2 linked regions of the Arabidopsis thaliana genome follow. The protein of the gene in region 2 interacts with the protein of the main gene of each other region in a pairwise test. Each region holds a gene or a part of one and is shown on either strand. Other genes may lie near its edges.

Region 1 (4,404 bases), on a different chromosome or scaffold from region 2:
ATATATCTATCCCTTTGGTCCTTTGGATGATGGTCATATTTTTGCCTTTTTTATATGGCTTTAGATGGAGATATGGATGAGTGGGATCAAGAGACCCTTGAAAAGGTTGTTGAATCAAAGAAAAATGAATATAATCAGAATAAGCCAACAGATATCGTAAGTTGTTTCTCTTATCTTGTGTTTCTCGGACTTTTTATTATATGCTTGTCGGGACATGCTTATCAGTTATTAGTAGCTTTTCTCTTGTTAATGCACTGTGAAAATGTCTGAACTGGTTTGTGTTCAAATATACAGCCTTTTAACGTGTATTATGTGAAGTGATGCATTAGTTTTGGTTGCACTTGCTGTGATTAACCTTTAGCTGATGTGCATTCGCCTTACGATGCGCTTCCTTTAGCTAATAGCACGGTTCATATTAAGAGCCATTAGGGTCTTAGATGTTATTATGCCTCCCGTTGTTCCCTTGTGTTTTTCTGCGCACTTGGTTCATGCCTGACAAGAACTCATGCTTTTGGTGATGTTAGTGCTAATCATAATTTTGAAATAAATGTTTCTTAACTATATACGTCTATGCTAAAAGAAATAATATCTCTGCGTCTCATCTCAATAATCATCTCATAAACTTATCCTAAACACATGAGTTATTTGTCTCGCTGAGTTTTATTGACTTGTAATTGTTTTTGTGTTTACTGAAAAATAATAGGTTTGCAAGTATTTTCTGGATGCTGTGGAAAAGAAACAGTATGGGTGGTTCTGGTCATGCCCCAATGGTGGCAAAGAGTGTCATTACAGACACGCGCTTCCTCCTGGATATGTCCTTAAATCTCAAATGAAAGCCCTCTTGGAAGAGGAGTCATCGAAGAAGCTGGCAGTTGAGGACGAAATCGAAAACGAGGTTTAAAATACTCCTCAAGTTTCCCTCATAGCTGCTAGGACCCGGTACTTGATTTGTGAGACCCATGTTTTCTTGTTCTATGTTTCAGCGTGCAAAACTGCAAACCGCAACACAAATGACTCCTGCACTATTTATGGAATGGAAGAGGAAGAAAATTGCTGAGAGAGATGCCGGTTTGGCTGCTTCTCAAGCGGAGAGAGCTAAGAACGACCGTATGAGGTAATCCCCATTCATCATTCTGTTACATATCCATCTCCAGTGTGACTCTATTTTTGTCCTTGGAAGCTGATTCATTGTGTGGATTTGTAACCTCAGTGGTCGGGAGCTGTTTCTGTCCAATGCAAGCTTGTTTGTGGATGATGCTGAGGCTTGTGAAGAATACGAGAGGGAAAGAGAGCAGGAAGAGACTGAACAAAAGGTGAGCTCTCTCTCTCTCTCTCTCTCTCTCTCTCTCTCTCTCTCTCTCTCACTCACTCATCATTTAAAACAACCAAGTCATGTTAATGGAATCTTGAGTTTTTTGCTTTTCAGGCAAAGAACAAAGAAGCAGAGGCAGGGACAAGCAAGAGTAGTGGTGATGCTGAACAGAGTTCGAAAGAAGTCAATGAAGAAGAAGAAGATGACGATGATGATGATGATGACCTAGACATGGATGAGCTGGATGAATTGGAAGCAAGCTTGTCGAAAACATCGATCCAGATTCGTGAGCCAAACGACGAAGGGTCATCTTGAAATGAAAAATGGTCTAAGAGGAAGAGGTGGAGGAGAGAAAGCACATGTTTTGTTTTTGTGTACTTTCAATAGATTGGATTTTGCAGACACAAACCCCATTTTGGGGTGTTGAATAATTTCTGTTACTGTTTTACAGTCTTAAATGGCCTCATCAAAGAACTAGTAGTATCTTTTTTGTCCAATCATTTTCATCTTTCTTTGTTGTTGTTAATTTTATCATGATGTGTAAATAAAAGGTCGTAAACTTACTAGAGAAAATAAAAACTACAGAAATGTATTAAAAACAAAGAATTTTAATCAATTCTTATGAATATTTAGTTGTTTTATTGATATTTATAAATAAAGAACAAAAAATATCGGCGATATAAAAAGAGGTAAATTAATCTGAGGGCAAAAATAAGAAAAGCATCCAATTTCGTCGGAAGAAGAAATCGCCATGGTAGCCGCAACAGTAAACCTCGCGAACATGACATGGACGTCGTTAAATTCAAATCCAGCAATCTCTTTCTCCATGTTAAGCGGAATCAGAAACTTGGGCATGTTACCTTTCAGGAGATGTCTAAAGCCGACAGTTATCGGAATCGCGTCGTGGCCACCACTCCGTTGTTCTTCTGTTAAGGCTATGTCTTCATCATCGTCTTCGTCTGGATCGACATTGGAGGAGACTGTTAAAACGACTGTGGCAGAGAACCCTGTCGTTGTTTACTCCAAAACCTGGTGCTCGTAGGTTCACTATACTTTTTGGTTCAATTAGAGGAATGGGTTTTGTTAATTTATGATCTAGTTTGTCAATATTGATACTTTTACTGGGTTTGTTCTTTTTGGTGGTGAAGATACTCGTCTCAAGTGAAGTCCTTGTTCAAGAGTCTTCAAGTTGAGCCACTGGTTGTTGAATTGGATCAACTTGGTATGCTCAATTCTTTACTTTGGTTTGCTATATGGGTCTGAGTAGTTTGCTATATTGGTTTTGATAATGTGTGTGATATTGTTTATATCGATCAAGGAAGAGCTGGTTACAAGTGCCCTAATGTTTCAGCATTTTGACTGGATGAAATTAATACTTGTTTCCAACTTCTTCTTGTTTATCTTCTGGTTCATTTGGCTGCTTGCTTGAATTGGTTTGTATGTTTTTTGATTAGATTTTGATGGAGGATTGATGATGGTTAGGGGGGTTTCTAATGGCCTAAGATAGCTTTACATTTCAGAGATTCTGTGTCTTGTTTATGTGAAAAATTTACTTCCACTGTAGTTTTCCTTGGACCAATGACTTGTTGATGAAGAATCAACGGGTAGGCTAGTACTTCTAATGGCTTAAATTTTTCAAATTGAAGATTCTTTCCTGCCTTTGAATCTTAGACAGTATGCTTCTATTTGTTAGAAACTATTATGTTGCTATCTTCTTAGTTATCTTTTCTCGTGTCAAGATTTGGTGACTTTCCAAAACCATTTGTTCTTTCTTGTCTTGTTTAGTTTCTTTGGGTAAAACATCTCTGCCTCATGATATTGGTCTGAAACATTTACAAAAGTTTTGGTGGTTTTTGGCGTTTCCAGGTTCAGAAGGGTCGCAGCTGCAGAATGTGTTGGAGAAAATTACTGGACAATACACTGTTCCCAATGTTTTCATCGGTTAGTTGTTTCATCATTTAAGCCAGTTACTAACTATACTCTGATCATTTTTCTTGATTATTTTGCCTGAAAACAAAACTATCGATAAAATCTTAGCCACTACATTTGCTATGACCATCACTTATCTAATTTTGATATCATGTTTTTGTTCATGACCAGGAGGCAAGCACATTGGTGGCTGCTCAGGTACAATCTCTCTTCCTTTCTTACCTCAACACCGAGATTTTTCTAATATGTAATTGAGATCGTCTTTGTGTATTTTGGCACCAAGATAGATAGTACTCAAGATCTTGCTCAATGTCTTGTGATTTTTCTGGTAACTTGACCTGCATATCATTATTGTTGAACAGATACATTGCAGCTGCACAATAAAGGAGAGCTGGAAGCAATTTTAGCTGAAGCCAATGGAAAAAACGGTCAGACCTAGAGATTTCTAGAGATGAAACTGGTTGGTGATTCTTCATGTTTCCTTATTGAAGTCGAGATGATTTGCTGTTTGAATTTACTGTCTATATAGAGATTTTCAATAAGAATCTTGTGTTTCTTTCTACGTACAAAAAACAGTCAATGAGTCATGCTGGGTTCTGTTACTAAACCGGAGTTGCTGAGTTTGATCCACACTACTTGGAATTTGCAATCATTTTTGGGTGGCTAAATGCATATTTGGAAATCGATCTTGAGATTGTAAAAGATAAAAGATGAATTGTTGGTTAACTTTTTGGTACATACGGTTTTGTTTAAGATTACAAACAGACGAACCGGTTTAGAGATAAACCATGTCTCTCATTTTACTTCTTCCACCTCGTCCAATGCGTAGTTGTTGGTCGATATATTCGCGTAATTCACCTTGGCGAACCGGACCACAACCGGATATCGGGTCTTCGGGTCCTGACAATTTAGACCGGAATATAAGATGAAACGATATCTAACCGTTAGATCGTTAACTTCAAAAGTAAATGCATTACCTGATCAACGGCCACAACTGATCCAACGTTCTTGTACCAGTATGATTCTTTCCTTAGAATCTTGACCTGTAAGTCCTCAAAATTGTTTATAAATTTCACAGTAGCCCTATAACTCTTAATATGTATACTAAATAGACCCAGAACTTATTGATGATACCCAGTTTAGCTCAAATATTAGTCCAATCT
Region 2 (4,013 bases):
AAAACATGTGATGGGTTGTGGTAGTATAGTATCTATAAAACCTATGTTTGTCTACTTGTAATAATTGGAGTTAAATGAACTTATGTTTCCAAGTTGTAACAATATGAGTGTTTTCTTTTTTTACAAAACAACATTATGTTTCTAATGATGGTATAATAACCGATAACAAAAAAAAAAAAACTGTTAATCCATGTAGCTAAAGTAAAGATATGGGAATTTGAGCAGATGGACTAGTTGTAACCATTATTAAGTGTTGCTACTACTGATATAAACGATTTTTGTCTAGTTGATGGCTAATACGGTTCCCAAATCAACCATAGTAGTTCAATATTCAGTTATTCACTATTCATGCATGTAACATGTATATAAAAGCAACAATCATATTATTATAAATCTTACAATTTTCATTGCAAAAAACTTTTCAGTTTTGAATTGATACGTTTCCATGCATACATATAATTTTTATGACCACAAATATATTTTAATCTATTTATCGACTAAATTTTTTTTTTTGAAATGATAACATTAGCTAGTAGAGAATAAAGTTTATTTTGAAGATAATCCGCCACCACAAACGCTAATTTTGTTCTTATTCATTTAGAGCGATTGAAAACGCCAAACACGTGTAACCGCAAACCGCAAACGCTCCAACACTTAACATGTGTTGGCGGGTTGCAAGAGAACCAATCAAAGTACTTAAAAAATAACCAAAAGCTGTATATCAGTTCCTTTTGCTTTTTTCTTTTTGATAAAACAAACAGCATTGTCAGCTAATCAAATAATATAAGATATTGAAGCCTTTTAGAGTTCGGAAAATTTAACGCTTCAAACTTCAGAAGGAGTCTTTGTTGTCATTTGATCAACGGCATGAACAACGTTCTGAAGCTCTTCCCAAATGGCTTTGTAGACCATCCTTTGTCTGTTCACTGCAGATTGTCCCTCAAAAGCCGATGATACCACATTGATGCTACAAATATTAAGCAAAACTGGTATTAAGTAACAGAACCATCTAATATGACAAGTTAAAGTAAGAATCTATGACTGGATTCCATCAAGAGCAGAAGAATAAGTACTAACTTATATCCCAACTTTGATGATTCTACTACTTGTTGAACCTGAAACTTTTTTGTGATTAAAATGAAAGAAAAGGAATCTCAAAATATGAATTTATCTATATATCTAACAAACTTCACTAAACACTATCCATAACAGTGATAACACACATCTGCAACTTCACTCAAGTGTAATAAAGAATCATCATTGGAAGACAAAAATGAGTTAAATCAGAGTACTTACCAGACATGACGTCCATCTCCAGACATATCCGTTACAGTAACCGACTCTGCATTCAATTGTTCTTTGATCTGCAAATGAAGCCAAAACCTCATAAGTAGAGAGACATGTGTTGATAAATCGAAAAAAAGAATCGTTTGCTTCAATCATATAAGTAAGAGACATGATTCCTCATTAATTATCTTAGCTTAGTGATCTTGATCATTTTGGAGCTACTGAGAGCAATCGTGTTGCCAATACCAAGTTTCCATCAACTAAATATGACACATGTTGCCAATACCAAGTATCCAATCAATTCCTTCAAAAATTCACTAATAATACTATAACCTATAAATTGAATTGACACTGAAACATACACAATGAATCAATTTCACTGAAATTAGTTAATGAGGTATAAAAATCCAACCTTTAGCTCCATGGATTGCATAAGGGTTTGATCAATAGAACCAGCATCATTGATTTGAGAGGATTTAGTACTGAAATTAAGGCTGCGAATGTCCAAAGCACCAAACCCAGAAACCCTAGAAACTCTATTGCCGTAAATCGACGACGGCGCAGTCTCTTTACGAGACAAAACGGCGCTTACACATCTCGAGTTAGTGAATCTCACGAGAGGAGCTGAGAATGAAGCGAAGGGTCTCTTTGAAGATTGAAAAAGGCGATAAAGACTCGCTCTTGTGGAAGAGAGAAGAACGTACGGACGAGTTGTCGCCATTAATGTCTGCGCCATTGCTTGAGAGACTTGCGAGTAAAAAAAAAAAAAATGTTCTGTGGCAATGTCGTTGGTTCTTGAAAAAATGGGCTTACGACACAACACAGTTAAACTTAATGGGCTTTCGTGGTTTCAAGTCATTTTAAGATTTTAATAATATAATTCTTTAATGGAAATAATGTCAGCCGTTGGATCGAATCCTGAACTTGATCAATTGAACAACACCGCCTTTGGAAATTTGTTTCTCTCTTCAATGCGATAATTCTCTCTTCCTCTTCGAATTTTGTGAGTTTCTTCGAGAGTTGAGGAAGAGAGACTCGAGAATATGGCCAACGATACTCACACCGATGACTTAGACGAGCTTCTCGATAGTAATAATTTCCTAACGAATTTTAATTTGATTTGATAACATGTTCACCAATTCTAGGTGATTGGTGAAAAACGTTTTTGTTCTTGTGGGTTCGTTTTCTATAATTTAGAATTCTGGGTCTTTCTCAGGTGCCTTGGATGATTTCAAGGATCTTAATCTTACTCAAAGGTTACTCCTTTTTCTCATAATCTCTGTCTCTCTCTAATTGTATCTATGCCACGTGGTTAGATTACTTAGCTCTAGAGTTTTGAGATTGTGGTTACATCAATACTAAATTAGAGGTTCTGTTATGTTTTTGGTGGGAATTGTGGTGTTGATTAGCTTTGGATTTATGTAGAAATGGAGGGGTTAAGAAAGAAGAGGGTGATAAAAAAGAGACAGAGTCATTGCCAAGTGGGGTTCAAGGTCTTGGAATGGGGTTACCAGATATGAGGAGTAAGAAGAAAGGAAAGAAAAAGATTGCTAAAGAGGACCATGTTACTGAGGCACTTGATAAACTCAGGGAACAAACTAGAGAAACTGTGAAGGGACTTGAGTCCTTGTCATCGAAGCAGCAACCTACAGGTTCTGATGATGCTATGGTTGAAGATTGGATCAAGCAATTCGAGAATCTTACTGGGTCTAACGTAAGTATACACAAACTGAGTTGTTACTTCTTGCTATACTTATCTAGTTTAATGTTCTCTTTATCTTCAAGTTCTCTGATTAGATTAGATTACTAAAGTTTCATCTAGTTAAGGTTGTTGCAGAGTAGTAACACATGTTGCAAAGTAGTTTTGAAGGCTGTGTTAATAGTAGTGATACTGATACTAATATCGAAAAAACCACAATTGAAGATGAGAATTAGTTTGCAGAACCATTTGAAAGTAGTCTTGATCACTAGAAGTTTTGTTTTTATGATTTCTCATTTCATAATTTCCATGTTTTTGTTTAGGACTTGGAGTCGATAGTGGACACGATGATGCAACAGCTGTTATCGAAGGATATTCTTCACGAACCAATGAAAGAGATTGGTGCAAGATACCCAAAATGGCTAGAAGAGCATGAATCCAGTCTAAACAAGGAAGAATTCGATCGTTATTCACGCCAGTATGAACTTATCAAAGAACTCAACTTGGTGTACGAGAACGAACCAAACAATTCGACCAAGATAATGGAGATAATGCAGAAGATGCAAGAGTGTGGACAACCACCGAGTGATATAGTGCAAGAGATGGATCCTGGCTTTGATTTCGCTAGTCTGGGCCAAATGTAAGTCTTCTTCCTTATTGGAATCTCTGTGATCTTTAAAGACCCCAAGGTGACTAAGTTTTGTATATATATATGTTCACAGGTCTCCGGACATGCTCGAGTCTTCACCAAATTGTTGTGTAATGTGAGGGAAGAAACAGGTTTTAGAAAACTGTTTGGCCTTGTCCAGCCATTGAAGAATGGAGAACATGTTTTTGTTTCTCTTGTGCATTGTACAATGCAAAGCTTGTTTAAGTTCTTTTTTTTTTCTTACCTGAATACCAAAGTTATTGGGTTTCGGTTCTTGTTCCTTTTGGTTAGTTCTGTTTTGGAATAATTTTGAATCTCTACACACAAATTCATAAATTCACTGAAACATAAACGTGCTCTTCATCCAATTCATTTCGG

Evidence for each region. Proteins that work in one complex are often made in the same cells at the same time.
Region 1: the proteins of AT5G17560 (region 2) and AT2G20270 interact in a two-hybrid assay, tested with the Arabidopsis thaliana proteins (one study listed by BioGRID).

Annotation. Positions count from the first base shown.
Region 1 is NC_003071.7:8,737,277-8,741,680, reverse strand, and holds AT2G20270 (Thioredoxin superfamily protein), read left to right. Parts: upstream 1-2,020; 5' UTR 2,021-2,063; coding exon 2,064-2,350; intron 2,351-2,460; coding exon 2,461-2,534; intron 2,535-3,097; coding exon 3,098-3,253; intron 3,254-3,412; coding exon 3,413-3,439; intron 3,440-3,603; coding exon 3,604-3,680; 3' UTR 3,681-3,895; downstream 3,896-4,404. Other genes in the region: AT2G20280 (Zinc finger C-x8-C-x5-C-x3-H type family protein), read left to right, coding at 65-156, 704-895, 984-1,114, 1,211-1,313, 1,427-1,627; PSAE-2 (photosystem I subunit E-2), read right to left, coding at 4,037-4,141, 4,219-4,284. UniProt on the Arabidopsis thaliana protein: May only reduce GSH-thiol disulfides, but not protein disulfides.
Region 2 is NC_003076.8:5,786,484-5,790,496, reverse strand, and holds AT5G17560 (BolA-like family protein), read right to left. Parts: upstream 2,140-4,013; 5' UTR 2,024-2,139; coding exon 1,700-2,023; intron 1,365-1,699; coding exon 1,297-1,364; coding exon of another isoform or gene 1,293-1,296; exon of another isoform or gene 1,122-1,292; coding exon of another isoform or gene 1,103-1,121; exon of another isoform or gene 968-1,102; coding exon 826-967; 3' UTR 533-825; downstream 1-532. Other genes in the region: PEX19-2 (peroxin 19-2), read left to right, coding at 2,331-2,376, 2,504-2,543, 2,713-3,001, 3,310-3,626, 3,709-3,754.